4 linked regions of the Caenorhabditis elegans genome follow. The protein of the gene in region 1 interacts with the protein of each later gene in a pairwise test. Each region holds a gene or a part of one and is shown on either strand. Other genes may lie near its edges. The genes, in order: ulp-4, atfs-1, hmgs-1 and dve-1.

Region 1 (8,513 bases):
CGCCACCAGTACTTTTGAACGATGTTGTGTTCGCTGTTCACGCATTTCTTGCCTGCTTTATCACAATTCTTCAATGTTTATTCTATGAACGTGATAATCAGAGTGTTTCTTCAAAATGTATCGCCCTTATGATTGTGCTGATCTCTTTTGGATTCTGCTCCGCTGCCGCCACGGTTCTCAGGAAAATTCAATTGCTCTCGTTTGTGACCAGTTTGTCGTACATAAAAATGGCTGTAACCTGCTGTAAATATTTCCCACAGGTTTGTTTCATATTGTCCATTTGTAAACAGTATTCTAGCCTGAAATTATTTTTTATTATTTTTAAATTACTAGTTTTTCCAAAAAAGTTTTCAAAACTTGACCGCGAAATTTTGCGCCAAAACTACGGTATCCGGTCTCGATACGACAGATTTTGTTTAACTCAAAAAGTTGTGCGCCTTAAAAAGTACTGTATCGTCATCAAAAATTCACGAAAAAAAGCTGGGAAAATGATGTTTTATCGAAAACATGTTAATTTAAATTATAATTTTATTCAATCGAAAATATTTTTATCCAATCGTAGAGAAATTATCAAAAAATATTTAACTATTGAAAATTAATTTTAAAAAATACAAGTGATCTAAAATAAATTGTAAATAATTTCAGGCTTACTTCAACTATACCCGAAAAAGTACAGTTGGATGGTCAATCGGAAACATCATGCTAGATTTCACAGGAGGAACTCTCGATATTCTTCAAATGATTCTTCAAGCAGTTAATGTGAACGATTGGTCTGCATTTTATGCGAATCCCGTCAAATTCGGACTGGGATTTGTCTCAATATTCTTTGACATCATTTTCATGGTTCAACATTATGTATTGTATCCAAATGCAGAAGTGAGTCAATTAGTTTTTATCCCTTTAATTATTTTAAAAAATTATGAATAGAACAAAAAATTTCAGGAACCAAAGAAAAATCAGGAAACGAGTCGTTTTTAATAGTTATGATCAGGTTCCTTGAATGTTTCTATATGTTTTAATTCAAAAAATAATTACTTACCAACAACTTTATGTTAGATTACTAAATCTTTAAAAATTAATTGAATTCTGATATTTTAAATAATATAACTTTTTGAAGGTTCCACACAATGAATATCATGGTGTTGACAATCCCAATCCAGACAATATTGCTCGTGATGCTGAACAATATGCCGGCGACAGTGAATCGATGGAGTCAACGGAACCTATTATTGTACATGACTAGATCATAATATTCAAATTCTTTGCCCTCCTCGGTGCCTTTTGTTGTACATATTCAAAATTTCTATTGCATATCGTGATTTGAATAATATTGATTCTACGGTGATAAACTTGTTCAGTGAGAAATAAGATTTTTAAGCTTTTAATCAACAGTTTATTGCCTTTGCTCAAGATCTTTTACAACATGGAACGATTTTTAGAAGAGCTTTTTTGGAACAATATGAGGACAGACCCTATGAATCTAAAGAAAGAGAACCACATAAAAATTGGGAAAACGGGAGAAAAAAACGGTAGGAACGAATAACATGGAAGTTTGACAAAAATAATATTATCAAATCAAAAATGTAGAAAAACGATACGACCCATATCATCCAATCAACCGAGGCGCTAGTAAAAAAAACAAAAAAAGAAAATGAAATCATAAATATAACAAGATGTGAAAACCAGCGGACACCAAAATTTTAAATGACAATTGAAGATTGAAAATGAATTTTTGAGAAATGTCGTTCTTGATTTCTTTTCAATATTCGATTACCAAATATATTTTGGAATTTGTGTCATGGATCCGACAGTCAAAACTATTAAAGAAGTGTAGCAAGAGGGTGAAAGCACAGGGAGATGGTAGCTGGCTCAAAACGAAAGAAAAACATAAGATTCGAACGAGAAAGAGAGCGGGAGACTTGATATTTTTTACAATAACAATGAAATGCACCAACATTCAAGATTTGAAAGGACATTTTGTCAACGACTTTTGAAAAGAAAGCGCTGATCTCCAATAACTACTAAAACAGAAACAAGATTCGTCATTAGAGAGCAACGCTGTGATGGAATTTCGTGACATAAATTATCTTCAAGTATTTGAATGCTAGATACCCAACAAAAAATGTACAGATTGCAAGGGTATGGAAAAAATTTGAAAAGTAAGAGGGATCAGACAATGTCATCTTATGAATTACCAGGCATAAAAACAGTTATCTTCACTAATTAATACTTTTCAGCTTTTTAAAATTCATAAAAAATCATCATCATTCTCCACACTCACCTTAAAGACATTTTTTTGAAGGAAACACAAATCTCTCACACTACAAGCTGGAACAAAGAAACAACGAAACCCATGTGAACGTAGAGTTTTGGGCACGGAAAACCCAATCTTCCATGTTGAAGGAAAGTGTCTAAATGGTGGATAGAAGGGGATTAAGGCAGGCAACAGTAAAGTGGGAAGAGGTGAAGAAAAAGCTGGGATATGAATTTGAATTCAATGAAAATGGAGGTGTTAAGGGAAGAAATGGAGGTGACGTGATACTATAGGTAAACCGATTATTGTTGAGAAAAGTTAAAAACTGATCACAACGATGGAATACTTACAGATATATAAGCGCAGTCGGAAAGAATGGAATCGTAAAGGAACGAAGAAACATAAACTCGCAAATTGTCGGAACACCTGTTTTGTGTCTAGAAGTCGGTGAAGGGCGGGAACGGGGAAACTGAAACGCCGAATAAATAGTTCAACGATGAACAATGATGAACGGATATCAGCTGAGAAAAAAGTGAATGTGGTTAACAACAGAAATAAGGAGAAGAAAACAGAGTAACAAGGGTCAACAATGAAATGGAGAGATATTTTTTGAAAATTTTTGGTGGTTTTTTGAGTGAAAATGGGTTAATATAACAAAAGGTTCCCTTGTCACGAAAGCCTTCAGACATCAGAGAAACAGTTCTTCGGAAGACTTTTCAGTGGGAGAATTCGGCAGGAAGGGATGAGAAATGGAAGACGGACGGTAAAGAACCGGGGCATATGAGACAAAGTATGCATTCCAGAAGGATATGCTTAAAGTGCACGATGAGGTGCGGCAGTGCTATAGCCATTGAGCAATTCGACAAGCGGACGCCAACGAGCTCTGTTCGTGGATAGTGATAGAACAACTCGTTGCATTTCAGTTCTCTTCGTGGCCGTTGAGAAATCTGGATATTCTCGTGCAAAGTCGAAGTTGTCGAGCTAAACATAATATTTTTTATAACGATCAGTCAAAAAGAATGAACTTACATCTTTTGGCGGGCTCAGCAAGAAACGTCTAGCAAACTCTGCAATGAAAATACCACAGTCGAAATTGTTGGTTTGTTGAGGCATTCTTTGTGGTAAAATGCACGGCAATGGAAAAGGCATAGCATTTCCGGTACGTTTCTCGTATGAATACTTCATGAATGATTCGATTAATGTAGCCATGTTCTGTAGGTTGTTAAGATCCGCAGTGAGCTGCGAATCAAAGATAACCGTGCGAGCTTGAGCAGTGAACGGATGACATATGACTGCCAATGACCAATGCTCCCACTCGTTTACAGGAACCACAATGTAATCAAAATCTTGGAGATCGAAATCAGCAACGAAATCATGCAAATCGCCGAATTTGAGATCCATCTTTTGCTCATCACTCATCATCTTCTCGTCTTCAGAATCAAAGGCGTGCTGCCGTAAAGAAAGATTATGCCAAAATATCGATGGAAGAACAGTGACATTTGAACCATTGCTGTCTGGTAGTACGTGTTCAACAATGTGATTCAAATAGAAGTCGATCATCGTATCGTTGAGAAGATCCTGAAAAAATATACTAATGAATTTTGTGAATCAAAAATATTTTAAATGGTTTCTCCAGACTTTTTTTTGAGATTGTACTACAGTACTACATCAGAATGTATATAAACTTGAACTTTAAATAATGAATCATTCGACTCGTCAATTTAATATAACATATTCTCCTGACCTCTTCGCGCATTTTTCTGTTGTAACAATATGTTCCTTTGTTCGAATAGCCGATCAAAGATCAGCAGTTGCTGCTGCTCATCTACGAGTTACGCCGTTCGGTCTTCCCCCATAATCCACAACACTAAATTACATTGCTTGTTACTCATTATTTTACGATATCCTTCAATCATCTGAATTTCTTCAAGAGTATGGGAGGTGCGTGCGCGAAAAATTTGCGCGCGCGATTCGAAAAAAAAACCAGTTTATTACTACCAGATGACCCTGAACTGTCGCAGCTGCCCACACAAAAAGAAGACGATGACATCGGAGGTCTACGAAAATCGGAAAAGGAATTTAGACGGCGACCCTTGTCATCTGGATGAAATTAATCGAATTGTTCTCGAACGGTCTTTGTTTACATGTTATGATGCGAAGGTAGCATTAGATTATTCCCCCACTCCACGACAACTTCTTTTCATTGGCTGGCGCTGTGCCAACATCTCAGTTCGCTCAACACACAAATTCCTCGCACACATCGAATTCAGTTGTTGTCTCGTTTCTCTGCGCGCCCGGAGCCCCGCGGCTGAGCCCGCGCTTCACGTACCTGGCACCGAACACCCTCCTATTTTTACACGAACTCTCGCCTTTTTGGCGCGCTGCCATAAGATCTGCTAGTAGTCATAGTTAGAGACAAAAAGAGAGTGCGCATAACCCTTGAGTACTAGAAGCAGACCGCTCTAGATGGGGAGTTGAGACCATGAAGTGAGAATGGATGTTGACAGAAAACCACCACCGCTTCACTAATTTTCTCGTCAAAACTCAATGAATTTTTGTTTTGCACAACAAACAACTTCTCGCGGGATATTTGTTATCTTGAAAATGGGAACTGTGTCTTCACCGATAACAAACAAAAGAATAGTTGGTGAATTTGAAAACTAGATAAATCTGAAATCCAAAATACTAATTACTTAATTTGTTTTCAAGTTTCTAATATTATTGTTTTTATCGGATAAAATTCTCAAACTAATTCAGGATTTTTGAAGTTCGCAAACAAGTTCGTTCCTCTGTTTCTCCGCCAGCAAGGCAAACAAAAACCGCAACATACACATTCGCTGGGAGACACAGCATAAAAAAGGTTTGGGCAGTGTGGTGGGCGAGTGTATTTCACTGAGAAAGTGCATTTAAAGTGCACTTCGCGCTTTTTCGCCTTCCGGATTTTTCCTTTCTTTGAATCGGCAAATTTATTCAAAATAGACCGATTAACTAGATACGAGGATAGAGACCTTGTTCTCACAACCCCCAGTCTAATAAAAATGGACCCAAATCTTGTGGAAAGTCTAGACAAGTGTTGAAATATAGGAGATAGTAAGAGACGCAGACGACCTACACAAAAACAACAAAAGGGTATGCAAATAGTCATCGCCTTCTTATGTTTGAGAGTAGCTGTACACAAGTATAATCCAAAAATAGTGAAGAGCAGATTACATACCTTCTCCTGGAGACAGCAAAAATCCGAAATTCGAATGGCTATTGATTGGAATGGGAAACGGATTCGAAGCATCTCCATAGCTGCGTAATATGCAACGCTATTCTATAAAAGGAATCGTTTTGTTTTTCAACTTTTCAGAAAATCAGATGACATTTAAGGCTATAAGAGGAGGAGCCATAATAACATATATTTATCACCAATCATCGAATATTGCTCAGTGCTCTGACCAATACGCATTTTTTTGTATTCCCGAAGGTATAACCCACTTGATTATCAGTCCGCTTCTGATTTGTCCATTCGTCATTATCTTCCTCGTCTTCTTCTTCTTCATCTTCGTCCACCAAATCTTCTGTCATTGAAGATTCCATATCGAAATCGTCTTCCTCAAAATCCATGTGTTGATCGTTACTTCCTGAAGACGTTTCATCCTCTTCTCCGATAGAACCATCTGAAAAGATTTTGATAAATTTAAGATATCACATTTTTTGATAAATTACCTAGATGAGTTCCGTCTGCGTAGTACCCTTGAGAATTGTAGCTCCCCATCCGGAATAGGTCATCTTCTCGCATTGAGACATCTGAATCTTGAAAACTGCCATATTTGAAATTGACAGCCGGCGTACAGTAAGACGTTGACACTTCCATATCTGTTATTGTTCATGTACTACGTGCAATACATATAAGGAGGGTGATTCTGAAAAAATAAAATTAATAGAAAGAAAATATTATAGAAAACGATAGAAGATTAAGAGTTTAAATGACAACTTTTTGAGAGAAATCAGAAAACGAAATGAGAGAAATATCAAAAAAGATCAATCTTCTTTCAGTGCATCGAAGAATGTAAAAGAGATAGAATCTAAAAAACTAATGGCTCCGAGTCCCAGACTCACATTGCATCGACCTATATTTTCGGAATTGAGGATGGCGTGGCGTCATAGATAACCAACAGGTGGTATTTCGGATGAAAAGTACGGCAAGGACGGGCAAGTTCACTAAACAAAGTGAAAGATGGGAACTGCTAAGGCCATTTTACAAATGTATCTCAATCTTCGACAACCAAGATAAGAAAACTGTCAATCGATCAGTATGACAGTATTAATACAAGCAATTCAGGGTTATTGAGTATAGAACATACATATTGAATACTTTACACTCTATATAAAAGTGATGAATATCCCGATGAATACGGCTTGGTTTGAAGTTGATGTTGAGGGCGTATGATGACCAGTAACAACAAGATCATGCATGCTGCCGCATGCATCATCCTTCTGCTATTTAGATCGACGGATCCTTTGAAAACAACTGAAACTTCTGCAATCTGGAACAAACAAATGTTAAAAGCGCAGATCAGGTGCAATCACATGATTGGCTATTAGAAACAAATGAAACACTTCTTAAATATTGATGTTTAGGAAGCACGTGAACATCTCATTGTTGTTCTATTCGTACAGAAAAACGGTTGGTAAGATATGACGAAATGCCAAGTAACTTCGTAGAATGTCGAAACTTTGTTCGTTTTAAAACAGCAGTGCTAATTCAAATTCTGTTTTTGGCGCCTCGCCGTTTGTATCGCGCCCGCCAATACAACAAAAAACCAGACAGAGAGCGAACGGTAAAACCAACTGCATGTGGCATCGAGCGACAGGGCGACAGCGAGAGGAGGGAAAAGGAGAGACCTTTTTTCTTTCCAACTGCCGTCCTCTCCTCCTTCTTTCTCCCTCCCCAGGCCGATGGGGGCCTTCACCGTCGCCGCCGCCGCTCAACAGCCTGGGGGTAGTGGAGACGGAGAGATAGAACGAGGGCAGACGGGGGTGATTGAGGAGAGGACGAATGGGCCGAATGGGCGGACACCAAGAAAAGGGACATCCAAGCGAATAAGAGAAGGAGAATGTAAGGATCAAGGCTCTCTGTCTTCTGACTTTTCAGTATATGATGATATTCATATCTTATCCTGGCATGCATGATATGAGAGTGACTACTGGAGAGATGTATTCGATATCGATAAAACACGGAAGTTTTTGAGGAAGAAACTCAAGCAAACGGATTTAGAAATCGAAAGATAGATTCGAAGTACAAGCGTATTATCGGTGTCGAGAAGAACCTTGAAACGTTAACGACCTTCTCTCTCAGTCTCAAAATTTCACACGCATGTGATTGATCACAGAGGTTTTTGCAGACAGACGTTGACTAGTCTAGGTACGTCTCGTGACACTTTTTAGATCAAACTCGACCACATTACACTTTTAAAGATGCCACATCGAAGCTCAACGTATGATTAAATGTCACATAGCAGAAATATATTATTTCATAAGATTGCTCAACAAAGGAAACCGGGAACAACAGAGTATCATACATTTTTATCGGCAATTAAATATTGTTGAAACAACTAGATTTGTATAAAAGGACATTAAGCTCGAGCTATAATTATATTTGTTCAGCCGGAAACATCAATGATAGAACGGATCACCCACACATCTCGGATTATACTCAACATTTTGAAAAAGCTTAAAATAAATAAATACAGCTAACGTAAACAACTTTAGTCTAAAATACCATATGGTTATTTTAAGATCTTTAATCGAAGTCAGGGACAAACATAATTTCACTAGATTTTGAAGTGCCTTCTTAAAGGCGCACAGGTTTATTCAGATGGGTCTCGGTGCGCAAAAAAGTTTATGGTAGTTTTTCATTTTATTTTATTAGGTTTTGTTTTTTCTTCGCATTTTCAATGAAATAACGTGGTTTTCAGCAAATTTCGTCGTTTCCTTTTTAATAACTCTGTGAAAAACAGTTAAAAATCAGTTTTCAAAACTCAGATTTCGAAAAAATACCATAAACTTTTATGCGCGCCGAGACCTATCTGAATAAATCCGTGCGCCTTTAGGCACTACAAAATCTAGTGAAATAAAATTTTCTATTTAAATCTGAAAACAAACAGTTACAAACTTCAGAAATAATTTAAGCAATACTTTTTTTCCGAATAGAGGGATCAGAGAAATACAAATGCAAGCTACAAAAGAGATGACCAATTCCAAAAGTGCAACA
Region 2 (7,175 bases), on another chromosome or scaffold:
AGGAAAGTAACAGGTCCGACAGCTTGTGTCAAGAAAAGTGCGATGACCGGCAGCTCCGGTCGCGGGCCCCCCTCCTTTTGCATCGTTTTTCCCTCAGCGTGTCAAACGCGTCATATTGGCGTTTCAGTTCAAGGGTATCTTACCCGAGAAAAATTAATCGGTTTCGTTCCTAGAATATGGCAATAATGTGTTGCTTTTTTGATAATTTTCAGTTGCCGGAGTGTGCGGGGTTCAAGACACGTCTTCATGACATTATGTATACTTTGAGAGCGACGACGGCGAGAGTCGGGGGAACAGGGTTCGAAACTTCAGAACGAACAGTAGAATTCTCTCAAATAGGAGATTAAATGCTCCTCTTTTCCACTTTTTCATAAACTATTAGAATCATCGCTTTGGGCGAAGTGATAAATCAGACGAGCATAACGTATATAGTGACCAATCATACTTTTCGAGAATGGTCGGCACAAGCTTCATCAATACTTCAAATCTTCTTGATAATAAACTTCAGTGGAATCCAAAGATTATTTCCTCTAAAACGTTTGGTCTGGAATAATAAATGCAAAAAAGTCGATGAACTACTTAATTAGCGTCGCAACTAGTTCTCACACGCGCAAGGTTGGCTAAACAGGTAACGTTTCAGATCGTGAAGCAGAAGGTCAAGGGTTCAACTCCGGGTGGTGGCAAGAAAATTTCTCCGAGAACGGTAGCAGGCTTAGAAGAGGTGTCTAGATTCCACAGGGTACTACCTGTGGAAAAAGTGAACGAACAGGGTCGGCAGGGGAGCTGAACGAGAATAGAAAATCTTTTTTTTTTCCGGAATCCAAAATCACATTTTCCAAAAATTCACTTTTAAAAATTCCGAGTCTAAATAGAAGCAAAACGCACTTATATTTAGAAAAGAGTAGAACTATTTAGAAGAAGAAGGTATTTCTAATTAGAAGAAGTAGACATATTTAGAAGAAAAATGCGCTTATATTTAGAAAAGAGTAGACCTATTTAGAACAAAAAGGTACTTCTAATTAGAAGAAGTAGACCTATTTAGTTATAAAAAGCTCTGCTATTTAGATGAAAAAGCATTTCTAATTATGTCGTGTTAGGAGCTAGCGCCATTTCTAAATATATCTGCTTTTTTCTTCTAAATAGAAGCGAAAACGTTTATCTGAGTGGTAAATTCAAAATAAGAATTCGCAAAAATAGAACAAAATTCTGCATTTCTAGCAAAAAACTGTAAAAGCTTTTCCTCGGGGAGTACACGAGCTGCGTAATTCGACACAGGAACAATGTTCAACCTTGATATCAAACCACATTTTTCTTAAAAGTTTACCGTCTCATGGCGATGATATTACATCGTGCAGCAGTGATGTTTGTGTAAAAATGTTACACAACTGCGTCACGAACACAAGAAAAATCATTGAAATGTTTTGACATTTGTGAAACAATTTTTAAAAAAATTATCATTCATTTTGAGTTGATTTTCTGATTGAGATGTGAGCAGTTTAGATTTGAGGAGTTGAAATTGGATGGGAAATTTGGGATCGAATACCCGTAACAAAAATACAAGAAATGGGCAGTTTTTGAGAGAAAAAAAAGATGGGGGAAAGGTTCTATGAAAAATGATCTACAGTTGGGTGAACAAAGGGAGAAAAACTATGTAACCAAAAAAAAAGTTAGCAAAACTGAAAAGAACAGAAAAAAAGAACAATTGTTTCGAATTCTGATTATTGAATAATGGCGCCCATTTTACGAAGCTCCTTTTTCATCGAGTTGATCTCACGCTTTAGTTGACGTTCTTTTTGAAGAAGAATTCGATTACGATCAGCTACTTCTTGGAACTCCCTGCAAAAATATTAAATTTTAGATATCTATCTGCTTTAAATTTTTAAAATTTAAAATTATATTTTTCAAGATTGCAAGTTTAAAATAAATATTCTTACATTTTTCTTCCCTTCTTCTCGGCTCGTTTCTTCTCTCTATACCGAACTGCTGCTATTCTATTCAACATTCGTCTTCGATCGGTTTCCTCGTCGACTGAAGGCTTCAGAACAACTCCACGTTTCTTAAACTTCTGATGTTCTTCTGGAAAATAGTCATCGGAAGCTGGCGTCCACGAACGTTCAGAATCACGACGCCGAAGATAAGTTGGCGTAGCAGATTTCCGATTGAGACGTGAACTTGTTCTTCTGGCTTCAGATGCTGGAATATAGTCTTCATCGTCATCATCTCTCTGCTGGATAAAGTCGTCGAAAACGTCTTCTTGTTTCGGAACACAAAGAAGAGGTCCAGAAGAGAAAAGATCAACATCATGGTGCATTCTGACAGGTGCTCGATGTTCTTGCTGCATTGGAGCTGATGGAGTTGACAGTCTCAAAAGATTCGACGCTGATGATGAAGAGCTCAGGTTGAAGCTGGGAAAGTGAGATGATGGTGGTGGAATCATCGGATCATAGAGGCTTATTCCAGAATCTGGAGATGAAGTTGACGAAGTCATCAACGAATCGGATGACGTCATTATCATGGGTTCTTCCTTGAAAAATGCTTCTGGACGCTTAAAAACGTCGTCGTCGCTCTCCAAGTAGTGATTCCATGCCTAAAAAATTTAAATTATTAATGATTTTCATTTAAAATTAATTTTTAAAGGTCACTAATATTTTGAACACTCCAAGAAAAAACGAAAAAGTGTTAAGTGTAATATTAGCAAGAAATTATTTTCCAAGTCATACCTCCCAATCGACAGCTTTCGATTCTTGCTCAATGTCCATTTCGAACTTTGACAATTTTCGATCTTGTGGTGGCATTCCGTACTGAAACTATTTCAATCATAGAATCAGTTCTTGGATTAGGGGAAAAAGATACCTCATCTATTCGGGAAGTTCCCGTTAGCTGATCGATCGCCGATTTTGATGGTGATTGGAAGAGCGGGGAGCCCTGAAAAGAGAGCAGATTAGCATGCGGGAAAGTGGGTGGTGTGATGTTATTTTTTTGTATTTTTTATGTTATAATTCAGGGTTTTTGCTTTATTAGGATCAAAATGCATGCTGTCGAAAACCCGGATTTTCATACCGAGAATTTTCAAAATTTTCGCTAAAATGACCAAATTTTAGCTTAAAGGTGGAGTAGAGTCGAAATTTTTTGCTTTAAATGACAGAAAATAGACCCTAATAACCGAATATAACTGTAAAAAAATTCAAAAAAAATTTCTAAATTTTTTGAGATTTTTTCAATTTTTCAAAAATCAAAGAAACGGTCGAATTGAATTCCCGCGCAAATGAATGTCGCCATTTTTTATATTTTCGTGTTTTCTGGCTAAATTCGTCGGTTTTTCTTAATTTTTTCTTTTACATTTGATCTCAAAAAAAGCACCGTTTGCCAATTTTTCGAACATTTTTCCGTGAAGATAACTTGATAACCGAAAAAGTGTCTGAAAAATTGAAAAACGTTGTTTCAAATCAAATATAAAAGAAAAACTTAATAAAAACCGGTAAATTCAGCCAGAAAACACGAAAATATCAAAAATAACGTCACTAATTTGAGCGGGAATTCAAATTTAATTCGGCCGTTTTTTTGATTTTTGAAAAATTGAAAAAAAAACTATTAAAAAATTTTAGAAAATTTTTAAAAATAAAAAATTTTTGGACTTTACTGCACCTTTAATTCTCCAATTTTGTTAACTTCCAGCAGCCGGAAATTAATTTTAATTTTCCTTTGATTATTGTCTTATTTTTAATGTTTCTCGTGTTTTTTTTGTGTTGATTTCGGCTTTAAATGCACATAAATCAACCAAAAAAAAAAGAAAAACTAATTTTAGGCGGCTTAAAGTTGGCAAAATTGGAGATTTCAGCTAAATTTGATTTTTTTTCGAAAATTTTAAAAACTCTCGTTATGAAAGGTCTTTTTGGGGGATTTTTAGTCGGCAATGCGAAAAAGATTCGATTAGAAACACACAAATCGAAATTAATGGTTAGTTTTTGTTGTATAAATCTGCACAATGGTTAAGAACTATTTTTCCCGTACCATATTATCTCCAAAATTGGAGAAATCATGCATTGTTTCTGTTGTACTTGAATGCGTGGGCGGCTGCTGACATGTCTGCTGTTGTTGCTGATGACCATGTGGATGTCCAACACTGCTACCATTCTGCCATGAGTCGGTCGGTCGCCATGCTTCCAGCTCAAAACAATCAGTTGATTTTCCCAATCTAGGATCTCTGCCGCAAACCGTCACGTTTTTTCCCTCCCAGAACTGATCGAGTTCCAGCTCGTCTGATGGTGCAGGACACGGAGCCCGAGGCTTAGTGTGCCATGAGTCGAGGTCCAGTAGCTCGAGCTCTTTGATGACTTCATCGTCGTCCATGGGTACGCCGAGGAATGGATCATTTCCGAAGCTGGTCCTGTAAGCTTATATTTTTCTTGATTTGAATTTTTTCGCGCAATTCTCACGTTCTATGCCTCACTGAATCGGAGAAGCTGTGCGCAAAACTGGTCAGCTGGTCATTGATCGGTGCGGTTACCTGAAAAACATTTTTCATGTCAAAAATAATATTTTTCTGCAACAAAAAGCAAACCTTCAACGGCTGCTGATAGATGTTATCTCTGCGGAACGGACAATTTGACACAGCCTGGGCACCAAAAGTTGTGAGACGTCCCACACGGGAAAACATTTTGATGGTACTGTTTCAGATGGAATGAAGAGTTTGGCTGAAAAAGGAAAAATAGGTTAGAATATTGAGAAATATGGAAGTGGTATGAGGTCAGAATGAGGGATATATGTGTAAAGCATATCATATTTCATATATCAGATGACAAAAGGCGAAAGGAGGCGGTTTCTATTAAAATTGGAGATATTTTAAAATATTTTAAACGATGGAATTTAAAAAGAAACTGATATTTTTGAAATATTTCAAAAGAAAAATTAATTAAATTTGTGGGTTTTTGGGTCCTGAAACGACTGAAAAATCCCATAAATTTGTATAAATAACTATTATCGAATGTTTTGGGTGTTTGTATCACGTTAAATCTTTGATTCAGACACAAGTTTTAAGGCATTAAAAAAATCAACAAAATTCAGATTTTAACGAAAATTTGTTTTTTTTTTTCGAAATTTTGACTCGCCATAAAAATTGTTGGATTTTTTCAAGAAGTCTCGTCATAAAATTAGGTTGTTTCTGGCAGTTTCACTGTATTTGAACCAAAAATCCTTTTTTTGCAGCGAACCATTATGGGGATTTCTAAACATTGATTTTTGCAAGAAAAATCTATAAAAACTGATGAAAATCGAAAGAAAATTCAAAATTGCATAGAAAAGCCTAGAAGCTTCCATCATGCAAATTGCATCATGACTCACATTGGCAGTGCTCTATACCACCATTGGACCGAAAAAGTAGTGTAATTAAGATTTAATAATCGATTTCTACACCATAGACAATTCACAATTGACCGTCGAACCAACCACATCGCACAAAAAAAAAGATTTTGATAAGGTGAACAAGTGAGTGAGAGAGAGAAAGTGCGTCTGTCGCAGAGGAGAGATAGAGAAGAGACGCAGACGGAGAGACAGTCGGGAACATTGGGCAAGAAGCGGAGAATGGCAGAGAACGTGATGGAGAGGAGGAGTCTAACGGGCGGTCGTAGAGGTTCTGAAGGAGGTTTCAATGGATTGCACAAAGGTGAAGAAGCTGGAGGTTCTAAAAAAGAGCAAAGACAAACGAATTTGTGTGCGACGATTTTGTGTTCTGTGCTCGAATTTTATGAAAATCGTTTTACACTTTTCGAAAAGATAATAAATAAATATTTGAACTGTTCTCTGCGACCAAAATTTTTGCAAAATTCAAGGATCTATAAATTAATTTCAGTAATACATAGTTTCATATGATAAAATTTCATGACATTTTTTCTTCAAAAAATAACTTTGCAAGCAAAACACAAATTTTACAAAGAAAAAACCCCCAAACAAAGGGAAAACTGAGAAAAAAATGCGGAAACAATAAAAAAAATAAACTTCCATGCATACTTTTACAGTATCCTTAAAGGCGCATGGACGTTTTGAAACTCGCGCGTCAAGACCCACCTTTAAAAATCGTTGACAATCCTTTAGACCGTTACGGTACTTTGCTTTTTTGTCCTTTTATTATTTTTAATAAATATTTATTACAATTGTTTTTCAATGTGAAAATTTATTGGAAAACTAGCAACAAAAAACCGAAAGACATAAATATTTATAAAATGTATATATTAACACTGAAAGAAAACAAATAAACCTTCAATCACCTTGTTTTTTCGAAATTAAAAAATTCATCAGTAAAGTTTATGACAAATGTGTCATTCGAGATATTGCAAATTGTTTGTTTGTCACTCTTGTAATCTGGATTGAAGAACTTTGCCATTTGAACAGGATTAAAGTTATGAGTAAACTTGAGGCTTTCCAAGTTTTCAGATTTTTTGATAATTTAAAAAAGATACCAATTAAATTGAAGAAGAAGCAATAACTCAGTATAATAACTCAAGAAACAATAACAGCTATAGCTCTCGTGTCGATTTATGGGCTCGAATTCGGCATAAAATGAATTTATTTTCGAATAGAGACATCGATATTCCATTTTTACTCGTTTATTTAAAACTTTTTAAAAAATTCTATCGATAAATAAATGGTTTTAATTCATTCTCAAAAATCGAGCCCGTAAATCGACATAAACGCTACAGTAGTCATTTAAAGAATTACTGTAGTTTTCGTTACTAGATATTTTGCGCGTCAAATATGATGCGCAATACGCATTCTCAGGATTATTGTATTACCCTAATAACATTCTCAGAATATTGTATTACCCTAATAACGTAAGATCTTTTCGGTTTTAGAATTAATTGTATTGACAATTCAATTGCTGTAGAGCGGCCTGTAGAAGTAAATTTTTTTTTCCAGGGTTGCAATGAGCTCATTTCTACAAGTTGACTCTTAACGCAAGCGCAAAACTAGCAAAAAATCAATGATTTGAATCGGGATAATTTATTTCATAAAGACAAAAGTGAAAGAAACGAGATTAGGAACCCGTTAAACGTGAATGGGAATCTTGTACATTTGCAGGTGTAACTTCGAAAGAAAATAAGGAGTTAATACAAAATTAAATATAAATACTAAAATAAAAGAAACATAAAAACAATAGAGACGATAATAAAAGTTGAAAA
Region 3 (5,444 bases), on another chromosome or scaffold:
AAACCGACATGACTTGAAAATTACAGTAACTCATTTTCAGCGTGGCGAGACCCATGCGCGTGAGAATTGAGACGCCTGTGTAATATCTGAATGAGGAGAAAACCTACTCTCGCAAGGATTCTGGCGGGAAGTTCTTGATATTCTTCACATCTGCAGTATATCCGAGCCAGAGATCAATCGAAAGCGGAATACTGATAATTCCTTTTTCCCAGACAGCTTTAGCTTCGGCAATATTCCCCATCTTCTTCTCGTATTCGGCGTATTTCTGCCAGAATCCGTAACAATTTGGATATCTCGAAAGGAAAGAGCGATACTTTTCGCGGGCAAAATCCACATCATCCTGAAAATTGTGAAAATATAAAGTTAATCGTGCCACAAAAAGAATGCCGTACACTCTGATCCACTTTCGCAAGAATGTTCACCCAATTGTCGAAATCAGCCACATCAATTGGAGGAGTACCGAAATGGCTTGCCACAGAAGGTCGAGTCATCAACGAGGTATCCTTGTAATCTGATCCATGTCGGCTACTACGACTCCGTTGAGATCCTCCTGTTGTTCTATGACGATTCGAGTTGGAACGAGAACGGCTGAAAGTTTGGTTAGTTAAAGTAGAGTAAATTATTTCGAGTTTCTTCAATGTGCATGCAAAAACATAGAAAACAATTTTGATAGTACGAAATTAGAAATATTATCATGATTATTATTATTAAGCTTCTTCGTGTTGCTCAAAACCGTATTCATCCACAGCTTTTGTGTGCTCCTTCCCATCAGTTGACGCTAAACGCTAAAGTCGGATTTAAATAAAAAGTACTAAGCGGCGGTTTATTTTATTTATAAAATGTACACAAAATAACACAATTATTATCACTTTCTCATTTGAGACTCGGAGAGTGGCGAAGAGCGGAAATGAACGCAAACCTTTTCTGTAAAAATGAGGGCTTATGCAACGTGTATGTTTGTTGCCGAGAATTCTTTGTTTTTTTCTGATTTTTCATTGTTTTTCATCAGAAATTAACCCTTTTTAGAGTGGGAAACGTCCTAATCCAGAAAGGGAAAAGAACCCGTGAGTGTTGACATCATGAGTACATCATGCAATCCAAAACTAAGAACACATCGTACCTTCTCCTTCGTCGATCTCGATCTCGATCCGAGTCCCGATGCCGATCGTCGCGACGGCGGTGTGAATCTTCTCTTTTTCTGAAATTCTAATTTTGGATGGTTTACTTCTGAGGGGCCGATGGTGCCATCAGGATTTTTTACTAGGCATGTTTCATGTGAAAAAATTCAGGAACGGTGAGATATGAATTTTAAGCGGCGAAATTTCAGAACCGAGCTTGCGGTGAGTTTTTGAAGATGCTCAGAGCAGTGGTTTCGTGGGGCTCACGAAGCTTCCCACAAGCTGTTCTGGAATTTATATTTAACCGCTTCACATCATGGTCCTCCAAATGAAACATGTTTCGTTCAAAAGTCCGGTGCATACCTGCTGCTGCTGGAGCGGTAGTAGTCGTCTGTGTCCGAGCTTGACGACCGATCTCTTCCCATCTTAACTTTGAAATTAAATTGAGCCGTTCGAGAAATGGAAAATATTGTCGTGACAATAGTACACGTGTTCAACAAAATCAATTATCAGAAAAAAACAACTCGTTTTAATTTAAAAAAAAGAAAAGAAAATACAACTCTAATGAGCGAATAAAAAACAGTAACAAAGAAGTAGACTATGGCAAACGATGTGATAAAATTAAAAACTAAAAAAAAAAAAACAAAAGATACATTTTTAATGATGAATTCCGTTCCCGTTTTGAACACCGTTTGGTTCCTCGTGTAAAGTATATGATCGGCGATAAAGCTTGTCCATGTTATCAAGGAAATAAGTGTTGGGAAACAATGAAGTTTCGGATGGAGATTTTGGAATCTCTGAAAAACAAAATGACATTAAAAACCAATCACTATTAGAATTACTCACCTTTTGATCGTAGGAAAACTTCTCTTTTTTGTAATGTTTCTGTAAACTCTTCTGGAGTAAACTGAATTCGGTCATCGAGCCTTTTAATCGCCCTTATTGCGACTTGACGAATTTTATCAAGATTAGATGTCTGCCTAACTCTTCCTGGGAAAATTGCTGACGCTAGACCACTTCCATAGGCGAAGAATAAAATGCTTTTCTCCCCGGTGACGCTGAAAAGTAATTTTAAAAATTAGCTCTAAAAATCGGTATATTCTTCATCATACCAATCATCTGCTGCCAAGTATGCTAAAAGTTGAGCAAAGAGTGATGGAGTATACATATTTCCGATTCGCCTGTTGAAAACAAGATATGGATCTGTTTTTTCCTTCCAAACTTGAGCAGACAATTCGATCATTTTTGCAAGTCCAGCGCGATCGTTTTCATCGAGTTTATGATCGACACCATTTCCATTTCTGAATAAAATAAACATTTGAAAATTTTTCTAAACTAATCAACCTACAATTGCTTGTGACGAAGTTGCGAGTCAGTATAGTTCATCACAGCCAGGCCTTTTTGAACCATTTTCGTGAACGGTGAGTGAAGAAACACTCCGTCAAATGAGTTCAGCCCGTCGATACCCGTTGTATGGCGATTAACTTTTGATATGAAATATGTGTATGTCATTCTGACTGCTTCCAAATATGAGCTCAATGATAATGATCCATCGACAACGGGGTATTCACTCGGAATCGGCGCTGGAATTTAATTTTTTAAAAGTAAATAGAGAAATTAATAGCTTACTAATTGGCTTAAAGAAATCCCACGTGTTTTTCATGTGACACGCTGAAAACTGCCGATCAATCGGAATAGAAGCATCTGGACAAATAAGAAAAGCAATCGCTCCTGCACCGCCTGTACATCTCGCTGGACCTTCTTCATATATTGCAATATCCGCGACTACTACAATTGCGTTTTTCTTATCAAGCGGATGATTCACTGTGACCCAATCGATAGCGTGCAGCAGTGCCTGAAAATATAATTGAAGATTCTATTTTGAGAGACAAAAAACTCACTTGTGCGCCTCCAAAGCAGGCATTTTTGATGTCGACTCCTTCAATATCCGAATTTCCAGGAAATAAGTCCATTAAAGCTGTCTTCACACTTTTGCTCTTGTCGATCATTGTTTCGGTACCTACAACCAAACAGCCAATCGAATCAGTCGAGATCTAAACACACTGAAACTGAGGAAACTAAGTACTTTGATAGCGAATATTACTTTGTAAGTTTCAATAAGTTTCCTTGTGACTGTAAGGGAGATGGATACGATGTCCTCGTTGTCCGAGCAGAATCCCATTTGCTGTTGCCCCAGTCCAATTGTGTATTTTCCGCTGGATACATTGTTAAACTGCAATTTAGGAATCAATATTGAAGAAATAATGGTATTAATACCTTTTCTAAATCATTTTGATCGACAAAGTTCTGGGGAAAATACAACTCAATTGCTCCAATTCCAACATCCGTCACTGGTGTATATGACAATTGACCCAAGCTCATGCCTGCAATAAACTCTTTTTTAAATGTGAATTGCAAAAAATCACAAAAAACGATGATTTATCGACGAAAAGTGTTCATTATGCAAATTTGCCAAAAAAACAGTTTTGAAATATCAAAATGCCCGTAAATGTCGTCGAGGCAACGGCTCTTCCCTGCGAGACCCAAGGGAGGGGAAACCGATTTACGAGTCATTTGTACTCCTCTCGGACAAACTAAAATTGTATCATTTTCATTTTTCTGCAAAACTTCGTTTTCTTCATTTGATTTCATACAAAAAAACATTTTTCAGAAAAAGAAAAAATGCTGAAAATTCTAAAAGGACAAGAAGAGTCAATTAAGGGCTTGATTGTATGTGAAGAAGTGGATAACGCGTCGTCACTCCCATTTGTTCTTCATTTCCTTTCTACAGCTTCGACTTCAAGTCAAAAAGTCGCTATTGTTTCGACCAAATTGTCTGAAACAAATTACAAGTGAGTAAATCTTTATAAAATGGAAAGTAAAACTAATTGTTATAGACTGATTTGTTCGAAGGCTGGAGTTCGATGGAATCCCACTCAAATTAGTTTCTACGATTTCTTGAAACCATTCGAATTATTTGATATCACCTCTGAACAAATTATGGACGAGTTGTACAAGGTATTTCAGCATATATCTTTTTTCGAATAAAAATTGTTTAACTCAAAATTTTTCAGAAATTAATTGATTCCTCTGCGTCAGTTATTCTCTTCGATGATCTTTCAATATTGGAGCAATTTGGAGCAACTTCAGTTGAAACTACCATTTTCGTGCACAAAATCTACACACATTTAAAGACGTTATCACAAGAAAATGCGCTTCTTCTCGCTTCTTTCTCTATCCATTCGAATGCTGTGGATATTCTGAAACCCCGCTGCCACGTATTTGTCCAGATGTCGCCAGTAAGCCATGGTTTTGGAAAAGATGCATCAGCAAAGGTTCGTGAAATCTGCAATATTGTCGTTCATTAGTTATTGTTGAAATTCAGGCGGTGCTCACTATCAAATCACCATCTGCTCCAACATCAACGAAAGGAATTCTTCTTTCCGGTGAACGCACAATCAATGGATCATATATAACTGTGGATCAGTGATCTTGTTTTGTTACTGAATAAAAAAAATGATTCAAAAAAAGCTTTTCTTCGTTATCATAACAGAAAACAATGGGCACAGGCTTCAACATACAAATTTACACGTATTTCTAAAAGAGCCTGATTTTCGAACAAATAAGAGAATGCACTAGAAATTTTAAAGATTATCTATATTATGGAAGGTTGTCACATGTACTTCTGAAGTTCATTGTAAATCGCCAGAACCAATGCTGCACCAGTTCCACGAATCGCGTTCACCAGGGCTCCATGGAAAAATGCCTTGGGTCCTTCCTTCGTGTAAATGTACTGAAAATAAATAAATCTTTGTCCGAGAAGCAATTAAATGATCTTACTTTGATGCAGGATATTGTGTTATTGAACGGTAACGTCTTCTTTCCAGCACCCATCATCAGTCGTCTTCTTACAGTATCCAGTGGATAAGATGTCATTGCAGCGATCAGAGTGACGACTTGTCCAACAAGAAATGCTTCAGTAAATGTCATCTTTCCGTCACTATTCATATATGGAGCCGTTGTATCGAACAGACCATAATATGCTCCTCGATAGATAATCATGTATTGAAGCGATGGAATCAGACCTCTGAAAAATAAATAATTTGAAATCAGTTACACAAAAAAAATCAGTTACTTGTATAAGCCTGGAACTCCGTCACTTTTAATTATTTTCTTAGCACAATCGAACATTCCCGTGAATTCGCGATCCTGAAAACATTGAATCGTTAGAAAATTTAATTAATTAAAAAAAAAAACTTTTAAAAGAATCTTTTACCGATTTTCTCTTTCCCAAATCGATGGCCAACCTCGTTCTTATAAAATCAA
Region 4 (9,255 bases), on another chromosome or scaffold:
AAACCAACGATAGAATTTTGAAATCTATTTTCCATACAGTCTGGATTTAAAGAAGTTTAAACCCAAAAACATTCAATTTCTAAATCAACATCACTGTTTGTCATCTTTTTTTTTACATACGTCAGCAGTTTTGCCGCAGCCACACGTGTGTTCTGAGAGTAGATTGTAAATTTGAAAGCTACATATAAATTTGTATCAAATTTACGTGGGGATTTTGTCTGAATACACTTATAATAATCTAAAACAACCGAATATCATAATAAAACACTCCAAAAAATTTTATATTTTTAATAATTTCCGGTCAAAGTTTTGGCAAATTGCCAACATTTTTGAATAATTTGAGCTTTTGAAAAAAGTCCAAAGCAATGTCGCATGGATCCACCCCTACGATGTTTTAACACAAACAATTAAAACAAAATAACAGTAAAAAAACGTAGAAAAAATGTTTTTGTTTGGTCGACTTCCAAAATTATGAGTGGCAAAAACAGAGTAATTGCCACTTTTTGATTGTAAATAGAAAAAATTCAAAAAAAATTTTTGAAAGTTTTATTATGATATTCCGTCATTTTGGGACAACCACTCCACCTTTAGGATTTTCTTACTCAATTTTTGAATGTCCTACAGTTTTTGTATGTAAGAATCATATAATAAAACAAATTTGAAGAATCATACTGAAATCAGAATATTTATAATTCCTCTTTCAAAAATACTGAATATCATATAACAAGGGGCAAGCACCCACCATAACCCATCACATTATTCCATTCCCTACCATCTCTTTCTCCATTCGGTCCGGTCCATTGAGTTGGTAAACATATAATGTATATCGTATGATAAGGCCGCTGAATTTCAATTGACTTCCCCCCCCCCCCCCTCCTCTTTAATCTTCTCTTTTGCGTTACCGTACGATACGTAATATATGTAAAACTGAGATTTTTTGCATTGCCCCTTGAAGTCTAGAACTTCTCGACTTTCAAATTTGTAAGAAGGGTCTCATTTACCCTATACTTCTACTTCATGCTTCTTGTATAATCCCATCCGCGGGGTTGGTGTCTTCAAGCAACCGGGATTACTCTTTCCGGCTTATTCGAACCCCCTCTCCTTGCTTCAGTATTGCTCCAGATTGCAATTGTTTCAATTAGCCGCTACGATGACACCTAAACTAAATCCTCTAGGCTTAGGGGCACAAACATTCGTTTGTTAGAACTGATTATGTGGAGATGGAGCAAGATAATACAAGTGTAGAATACAATGATTAATCAATGAGTCTCACAGAGTTTTGCAAAAATTCTGAAAAATTAGATATTTCCAAAACCACGTTTTATACCAATTGTTGATTTTTGACTCATAGTAATTTTAACAATAAACCTTGTTAGATAAATTTCTAGAAACGGATTTGAGTTTTGGTGTGGCGAAGTATCAAAAGTGTACACATTATCTTATCGACAATAATCCCAAACCCACTCGGAGCTCCTAAGTAAATAGTGACTTGCATTCCAACCACTGTCTTATCTATAACTGGCAGACCCCCTCCTCTCCCGAAACGCGCATCCTTAAAATTTCTATAAGTAACTTAACCTTTATCTCTGCTGACACATCGGGACAATTCTAATTCTGATGCGCCCCTTATGCGATGTGTAGCGTCGTTATTTTCGATTTGACGGTGAGGAAAAGAGAAAGGCGGGGTTATAGGGTAGAAGAGTGAAGAGAGAGAGAAAATCTTGAACAAGTGGATTGTCTTTGTTCGATTCTTCTTTTTTCCTCCCTCAACGACGAAGACTAAGACGATGCCATACCACAACGACCCGAGGCTTTTCTCGAACTAGTAGTACATGATCGTTTCTACAGATGGGGGAGGGTTGGCAACCAGCCCCATCTTTCTTTTTTCCACTGTTTTCTACCTCACCTACCTATTTCTCCTCATCTTCCGCATTCTCTGCCTCTTTTAGACTCTTCCATCCGGTTCCTACATTATGCCATCTCGATCCCGACCTCCCCCCCCCTCAACCCCTCCTTACTACTTTCGCTCCATTCGTCGTCTTCAATCTCTTCTTGGCGACGACGTGGTCGCCTTCTTTCAGATTTTCCATATCAAATCTTGTTTTCGTTTTCGTTTCCATCCATTCTCATCTTCAACTTGTCTTCAGTAGCGAGTAAGAAGTAAGAAGAATGAGTACATGTCGCCTGATTCGTTGTTTTTATTTGTGTCTTAAGATTTCTAACCCCCTCTTGGACAGACTGCAAATCTGTTATCCAAACTTGGTGTCTCCCGTTCTTTTTTCATTAATCGCCTTAACAAATCCCACTATCTCCCTTTCTTCCATTTTTGTTGCTCTCCGCTCTATTCCATCGCAATTACGGTTGAATAGGTGCGCGCTTTCTTTTCCACCTTATTTGCTCCAACTAGCCACAACTACCATATCTCTTTTGCTCTTGCTCTCTCTCTCTCTCTTACTCGCTCTTTTTCTATCTATCTTCCCCGCATCATAGAAAGCCCCGCCTCCTCCATATCTATGAAAAGTGGGCGGGAAGTCCGCACACCAATCGGAGCGCAGAGCTAAATCTATCCAACTATCTTCTGGCTCTTCTTTCGATTCTTCTGCTATTAGTTTATCTCGATTTCTCATTTTTATTTTAAAAATTTCAAATATAAAGTTTCATTCAGCTAGATATGTTCCCAATGAGGGTAATCGTGGAAACAGTTCGCTCTCAACATTGCTTGACATGCTCAAACGAAGGACACATGATCACAGACACTTATGCAATTGTCGCAGGGACCACTACATTAAATCAACTCGTCGAAACTGTACTAGCAGCTCTTGGACATTCGAGCATGTCGACAAGTGCTCGAGGTTAGTTGAGAAAACATTTTGAAAATTGCCATAGACCTCGTGACTAGCTAAACTATTTTGGTATTAGTAGTACACATTCCTTATCTTCTTTTCTTTCATTTTTGTTCCTTTTTTTCATTCGCCAAAAACGGATAACAGATCTATCTTGTGATTGACAGATTTACCCTACTCTAGGCGAGTAAGTAATTGAGTATTGAGTGGGATCTCCTTTTCTTGACAACTACTTTCAGTTTCAATTCAATCTCATTGAAGCATAACGTGGTTGCGCAACTTCGCTATGCTGTAAGAAGATATACATCTTCCTCCTACCCCGAGATCACCCACTTTTTTTTGGCTAAGACGACCCTACCCACTCATGTGTTTTGTTCTGCGCCTCTTGCCAGATCAACGGTATTTCTGCGATTTCAGCGCCCTCCTCCCATTTTCTCACTTTCACGTTTTCTTCCACCTTAGTAGAAAGTGAAACAGACTGTCGAACCTGTTCTTTTCTCGGCGGCTTTGCCTCCTTGGTATCTACTTTCCCAAAGATTATGCAATCATGTGAAAGGGAAATCGGAAAGAAAACGAAGGGAATTGCATAGGGTTTTTTAAAAAAATATTTTGCATTTGTTGTCCGAAAATCGATAATTCAGAAATTTCAGGCCTCATACAAGTAAACAACTGGAAACCCTTGCCATTCGATCAAATTACTGAAAATTTAGATGACACTGTGGAAAACCTCTTCAAAGATATATCATCACATGTAGTGCTAAAAATATTGTCAAAACCGTAAGTGTTTCCTGAAGTATTCTTGTTTCACTCCGCACTATAACCTCATCTATCCCATCCAATCCCGCTCCAACCAGACGACTGTCGATCGGGAGGTTTGTGTGCTCCGGGGGGCTCATTCTGTAAAGGTGAGCAAAATCGCGCCTCACAACCCCTATACATCCTCTTTAGAACTACTCAAAGAAAATGGCAAACATAGGTATGTACAATGCGCGCCTCGCACACACACACATATATATAAACACATTCAGACATGTGTACAGGAGAGAAAAAGTGATGGAAGGAAAAAAGGGGGAAAACTCATTGAAATTGGCGGTGGCTGAAAAAAGATACATTTTGGGGCGCATTTCTAGTCATCAAAAGTCAAAGGAGCGGGAGGGTCCGGGGACCAACAAAATTATTTACCTAGATCCCCGTATGACTTATCCTATCTGTTTGCGGATTATTGTCGCTTCCTTCATTTCTTTATATCGTTCATATTCTATTGATATTTGGCATTTAGTTTGCTATCAAACATGGCACTCACAAATACCGCAAAAGCTTTAGCGCTTTGTCCTGCGACGCAATTTTTATGAGACCAATGAAAGCACAAACCATTCACGGACCGAATTCGATTTTTATAGCCCTATCCCTGGGCACACATATGCCTATACACACACACAATTTTATGACCATCATCATGATTTTCTTTCAGATCTACGGATTCAAATTCTGTGCAATGTATAAGTGAGGTGAAGAATAAACTCCTGAAAGCTGCAGTAAACAAAAATCCCAATGTTTTAACAAATGTGGATAATCAGCAGGTTAAGGTGGGTAGCTGCTATTTTCTCAATAATTCAATTTCAATTCTGATAATTGCAGGATGTCATCAACACAATCATTGCCGGAGATGAAACACTCTTGAATTCCGAACAAATTGGTGCAGTCAACGAATGGCTTGATACGCTGGAAACGAACGAGGATCGTAGAAGGTAAGATAGCGCCGCCCATGCAATGAGTTGCGAGCCAGTCAGCCAACCAGCCACCGTAATCCCGCTGTGCGTGTTGGATGTGAATAGAGGGGGGGGGGGGGCAGAGTTTGAGAGAAAAGACAGAGAGCAGTGACACGGGGGGTAGCGCCAAGTTAAGCCGCTATTCGGTGCTCGAGTTAAGCCCCCTCTCGGCTTGTTTGTAGAAATAGACTTTATGGATTGGTTAGGAATTTTGAGCTGCAGGCAGGATTGTGTATACATTGTGGTTGAAGGAAAAGTTATGAGAGAGCACCCATTTTGTTTATAAATTTTTGGGGAAATTTAGGAGATGGAATTTTGCTGTCTCTAGATATCAGGTAAAACCGATTCCTATCGGATATCATATAAACAATATACTTTTCCACGTCTGTGCATTCTTATTCACATCTGAAAAGAGAGGACTTAACTTAAATAGTTAGTTTCGTTTAATTTCCACCGCAAGGATTCATTGGAGCTCCCCCCCCCCCCCCGTCAGAATTTCAATTTCCTGAGGTTGTCTTCATCAAAAACCCGCCTTTTGTTTTCAAGTGTCGTAACAATCAGAATGGATAGGCGTCGGGGATTAACAAGCCGGCAGATTGTATCATTTGCTCTTTCTTTGGTGCCCATCATCACCATTCATCTTATTAGTGACAGCCCCCACACACAATGTGCGAAAACGATGATTGTTTGGGATTGGAAAAGAGTAGGGGATGGGTTCAATGGGAAGGGGAAGGCAAAGTGATGAAGATATACGTGAATGAAGTTAGAAACACTAGTTTATACCGAAGTATCTAAGAATTGCTTTGAAGACAAGTTTAATCTATAAAAAATTGTTTGAAACTGTAAAATCGTTATATAAAATTGATTTTTTTTACTTTATTACCCATTTGCGTAGCAGAAAACGTTTTTTTTTTTTTTTTTTTTTTTTTTTTTTTTTCTAAGCCTAAAAATAAAAAACTACACACGGTTTTATTTTAAAATGTTAAAATTTATTTTTTCAAAATGAGGTGAAATAATCCACAAGTACCAAAAATTTTCCTTGTTCTTAGTGCTAAAATAATAAAACACCGTACGCCTTCTATTATTTGCCAACTTAAAATGGTTGAGTTCAAAAATTTTTGAAAATCTAAAATTTTTAGGAGACGATTCACCAAATATGTGGCTTGTCAGAATTTAACAATTACCAAAACTCAAGTTTTATTTCGTAACTCAACTATAAATTCCACTAAGCCGGTTGACAGTACGGTTGATGCCCGGATAAGAGAGCAGTATTAGACTGAGATGAAGATAGCTAATTTCAAAAAAAAAACGAGACAAAAGACAAAACGATCAAATTCGGTCGTTCTCTAAGTGCCCTCCATCATGCCATTGTGTCTTTCTCAATTTCTCAAGAGAAGGAGGCTAAGAGATCAGGACTGGTTTTGGCCCCTTGTTGACCCGTGAAAACATCTCTGAAACTGCCACTGCCTGCTGATCTACATTCCCGAGACAACAAAGGGAAGAAGTCAAATTATAAGTGATGGAGACAGTTGTTTTCCACATATTCCTTTATTGAAACTCCTTCTTCCAACGAGAAGAAAAAAGGAAAAAGAAAAAGCTGAAATCAAGTTTTCCAGTCATCGAAGCACATCCAAATTTTCGAATTTCCAACTGTACAAATAATTGAGTTGTGTTGTGAGTAATCTTATTGTGACATACAGACACAAGAGAGGATACAAAACATGTACATATTGCTCTGAGGGAATGGGAACAGCAGAATAAAGGGCAAAATGGGAAAGGACGGCGGTGACGCATTCTGTAAAGAGTAATAAAGAATAGAAAAAGGGAGATTGAATGCGTTGTGTGCATACAGTGATATATCCAAACTGTTACCCGGGGGGGGGGGGGGGGCGCAAAAACAAGAAGAAGGGGACCCAGTATAACTATCAGAATGGAGTCGTGATTGGAGAAAAAGTGTCAGTAAAAAATGATTAAAAACTATCCTTACAAAAAACTTGTATACGAGTAATTACACCGTATTTCCTCTATTTGTATTGTACCACATTGTTCAACTTTAACTGTTTATATCTCAGTTATCGTTTGTGCTATTCGAAGTTGTTAACTAACAAAATATTTTTTCAGTTATTTTTCTATAGATTCGTAGTTAAAAATATATGTATATCTTTAAAGTGTATTTATACTCTTTAAAATGAATTAAGATATAACGTTTCAAAGTTAGGTAGTCGGGTGCAATACAAATAGAAGAAATACGCTACATGATTTTCTTTTCATTCCACTCTCAAGAAAGATAAACGCCTGCTTTCATATTACTTTCAGTACACATAATAATGTATGTATTTAATTTCAGCCCAACACAAGTACAAAGATTCAACACTCTTTACGAAATTCCACGTCTTGATAAATGGTTCAAATCCGATGCAAATCCATCTAAACAAAAAATGAACAATTACTTAAGCCAGCTCAATCAGAGTCCGTTCAGAAAGAACAATTCCAAGATCAGCTATCAACAGGTGAATTTAATGCGCCTACATATTACTCCATTAATCAAATGAATTTCCAGATTTGCAATTGGTTCACACAAAAACGCTCGAGTTCCCGTACCTTAGCTCCAGTAGACCTAGTGCAGGTCTCGTCAGCTCAGACAGCGGCGCAGCTGCTCCCGGGATTCCAACTCAACTTGCTCCAGTCCCTGTTTGGAGAACAACGTCAAAAATTTGATTTTTACGACAAACTGGATGAAACCAAGATTGTCGGCGGCTCCGACTCGCCATCTCCAGCCGATGATGAGATTCATAGCAATTCAGATGAAACTATTCAAGATACTTTGTTTTCCATCAATATTAAACCAGAACCGGAAATTGTAAGTTACGTTTGACTGTTTGTGCCATAGTTAGGTTGATTAGCGTTGCTCGTGCTGAAAAGCTTTGAAAAATCACGCTAAAAACGGATTTTCGGCTATTTCGATTCTGATTCACATTAAAGATAACATCTCCCAAATTGCTAAATATTACCGATAAGGTTATAAAGACCTAACACTACGGCCGAAAATCTGAATTTATTCCAAACTGTCAGCGTCGGCTGAGCGCCAATTAAAAATATTTTTCGACACAATTATGGTCCACCTTTAAAAATTATTCATCCCAAAACAAGCAACATTTCCTACAGGATTCAATTGCATCCTCCCCGGATATGGCAAACTCAATGCGCGAATCATTGTCCTCGACCTCCCCAAAGCTTCTCAGCGGGCTCGACCTCGGAGCATTCAGCACCCACTCATCATCCACCAACTCCATGCAAAACGCCAACTCATCAGGTACAACAAAGAGCTTTAAAACAGACAGGCTAACGGAAAAGAGAGGGAGATGGGTTGAACCAAGAACTCATAAATTAGAAGCGAGCACACACACACAAACACACATAGACATACACAAAGTGCGCGAAGACACATAACAAAGGGAGAAATGTGGGGCGTCGAATTTCGCACAGACAACCATTACGATCACTGAGATCTGAGGAAAAAAAAATGAGGCTAGGTATTGTGTTTACAGAAATAAAACAGAAAATCAACTGCAAACTTGATTTTGAGAAATATTCTAGGGATTTTGTACTGGCTCAAACTTATCGAGAAGGTGGCCATGTTCATGATACTCAGTCTGAAAACCTATATTGGTTGCTATCTCTAAAACGCTCTTAGATTGCGTTTGCTATGCATATGAAAAATGACTGCATAAAAATTCTCTATCTTTTCGACAAGAAAACTTTAAGGTGGAATTTTACTTCTATTTTTCGATAAAATCACTGACGCGGAACGTTTGAAAAAATTCAACGATAAAGCAAATAATCTCCGTTTTAGTGTTTTCAGCGGCTCGCTCACGCCTGATGTTCGACCCACTCACCGAGCTACCCGTCCTCGAAAAATGGTTCGAAGAGAATCCTCACCCGACATGGATGCAAATCGATCAGTACACACAATGCTTGAACAACTGCGCTTATCGAGAGAATTATCCGCATATTAGTCAGCACAATGTGAAGGTAATATTCTATATTAATACTGATTACTAGTTATCGAATTCGAATTGCAGATCTGGTTCAAAAATCGACGTGCAAAATGCAAGCGATTGTTGAATGGAATGCAGGAAAAGCTTGAGCAGAAGGTTTTCGTATAAAATTAAAATTTCCAACTTTTTTCAAAATCTTATTATCTTTAATTTCGAAAGAACATTAAGTTTTTCACATCAATAGTTCCTTCTTTAACCGTCATACTGGTGTACCCCTTGAATTCCTGATCTTCAGTGCCCCACAATTTCTCTTCAACGAAGAGCAAAATCACTACTTCATTTTTCATTCCAGCTGTGATTTTTGTCTGTAAGCTACACCTAATCGCTAGCTGTATATCTCGACGCATCTTTCGTTCTGCAAAACTTCTAGTCGCTTCTTGTCTTGTTTAACCTTGATGGGAAATTAAGCCGGCTTTAATTTCCTTCTTTCTTTCAATCAACAATTTCCCATCGCTTTCTTTGTCTCTTTCAATGTTCCACAGATCACATAGTTTTAATGGTTTTTCAATGTTTCCCTTCTTACCGTCACACTACTTTCCAATATTATTCATCTTAATTTTATGTCTACCACTTCCAATATCAATC

Evidence for each region.
Region 2: the proteins of ulp-4 (region 1) and atfs-1 interact in a two-hybrid assay, tested with the Caenorhabditis elegans proteins (one study listed by BioGRID).
Region 3: the proteins of ulp-4 (region 1) and hmgs-1 interact in a two-hybrid assay, tested with the Caenorhabditis elegans proteins (one study listed by BioGRID).
Region 4: the proteins of ulp-4 (region 1) and dve-1 interact in a two-hybrid assay, tested with the Caenorhabditis elegans proteins (one study listed by BioGRID).

What each region holds. Positions count from the first base shown.
Region 1 is NC_003280.10:8,127,609-8,136,121, reverse strand, and holds ulp-4 (Ubiquitin-like protease 4), read right to left. Parts: upstream 6,163-8,513; 5' UTR 6,114-6,162; coding exon 5,966-6,113; intron 5,917-5,965; coding exon 5,735-5,916; intron 5,571-5,734; coding exon 5,469-5,570; intron 5,428-5,468; exon of another isoform or gene 5,141-5,427; intron 3,833-5,140; coding exon 3,284-3,832; intron 3,236-3,283; coding exon 3,068-3,235; 3' UTR 1,378-3,067; downstream 1-1,377. Other genes in the region: ctns-1 (Cystinosin homolog), read left to right, coding at 1-260, 646-876, 1,118-1,243. UniProt on the Caenorhabditis elegans protein: Protease required for deconjugation of smo-1 conjugates from target proteins which is necessary for cell cycle progression. Required for respiration and the maintenance of normal mitochondrial homeostasis.
Region 2 is NC_003283.11:14,191,965-14,199,139, reverse strand, and holds atfs-1 (Stress activated transcription factor atfs-1), read right to left. Parts: upstream 4,695-7,175; 5' UTR 4,658-4,694; coding exon 4,562-4,657; intron 4,508-4,561; coding exon 4,437-4,507; intron 4,388-4,436; coding exon 4,012-4,387; intron 2,926-4,011; coding exon 2,854-2,925; intron 2,808-2,853; coding exon of another isoform or gene 2,802-2,807; coding exon 2,721-2,801; intron 2,588-2,720; coding exon 1,935-2,587; intron 1,837-1,934; coding exon 1,719-1,836; 3' UTR 1,448-1,718; downstream 1-1,447. UniProt on the Caenorhabditis elegans protein: Acts as a transcription factor during mitochondrial stress by activating the mitochondrial unfolded protein response (mtUPR).
Region 3 is NC_003283.11:5,681,088-5,686,531, forward strand, and holds hmgs-1 (Hydroxymethylglutaryl-CoA synthase), read right to left. Parts: upstream 3,503-5,444; 5' UTR 3,501-3,502; coding exon 3,396-3,500; intron 3,352-3,395; coding exon 3,223-3,351; intron 3,173-3,222; coding exon 3,020-3,172; intron 2,974-3,019; coding exon 2,748-2,973; intron 2,702-2,747; coding exon 2,467-2,701; intron 2,420-2,466; coding exon 2,231-2,419; intron 2,177-2,230; coding exon 1,965-2,176; intron 1,916-1,964; coding exon 1,776-1,915; 3' UTR 1,634-1,775; downstream 1-1,633. Other genes in the region: prp-39 (Pre-mRNA-processing factor 39), read right to left, coding at 108-340, 393-588, 1,121-1,198, 1,482-1,543; F25B4.4 (Elongator complex protein 6), read left to right, coding at 3,801-3,970, 4,016-4,136, 4,193-4,453, 4,504-4,608; F25B4.7 (ADP/ATP translocase), read right to left, coding at 4,792-4,911, 4,959-5,205, 5,254-5,327, 5,395-5,444. UniProt on the Caenorhabditis elegans protein: This enzyme condenses acetyl-CoA with acetoacetyl-CoA to form HMG-CoA, which is the substrate for HMG-CoA reductase.
Region 4 is NC_003284.9:427,210-436,464, reverse strand, and holds the start of dve-1 (Homeobox protein dve-1), read left to right. Parts: upstream 1-2,665; 5' UTR 2,666-2,671; coding exon 2,672-2,852; intron 2,853-2,964; exon of another isoform or gene 2,965-3,493; coding exon 3,494-3,620; exon of another isoform or gene 3,621-4,314; coding exon 4,315-4,429; intron 4,430-4,481; coding exon 4,482-4,591; intron 4,592-6,959; coding exon 6,960-7,122; intron 7,123-7,172; coding exon 7,173-7,472; intron 7,473-7,777; coding exon 7,778-7,925; intron 7,926-8,465; coding exon 8,466-8,644; intron 8,645-8,694; coding exon 8,695-8,778; 3' UTR 8,779-9,255.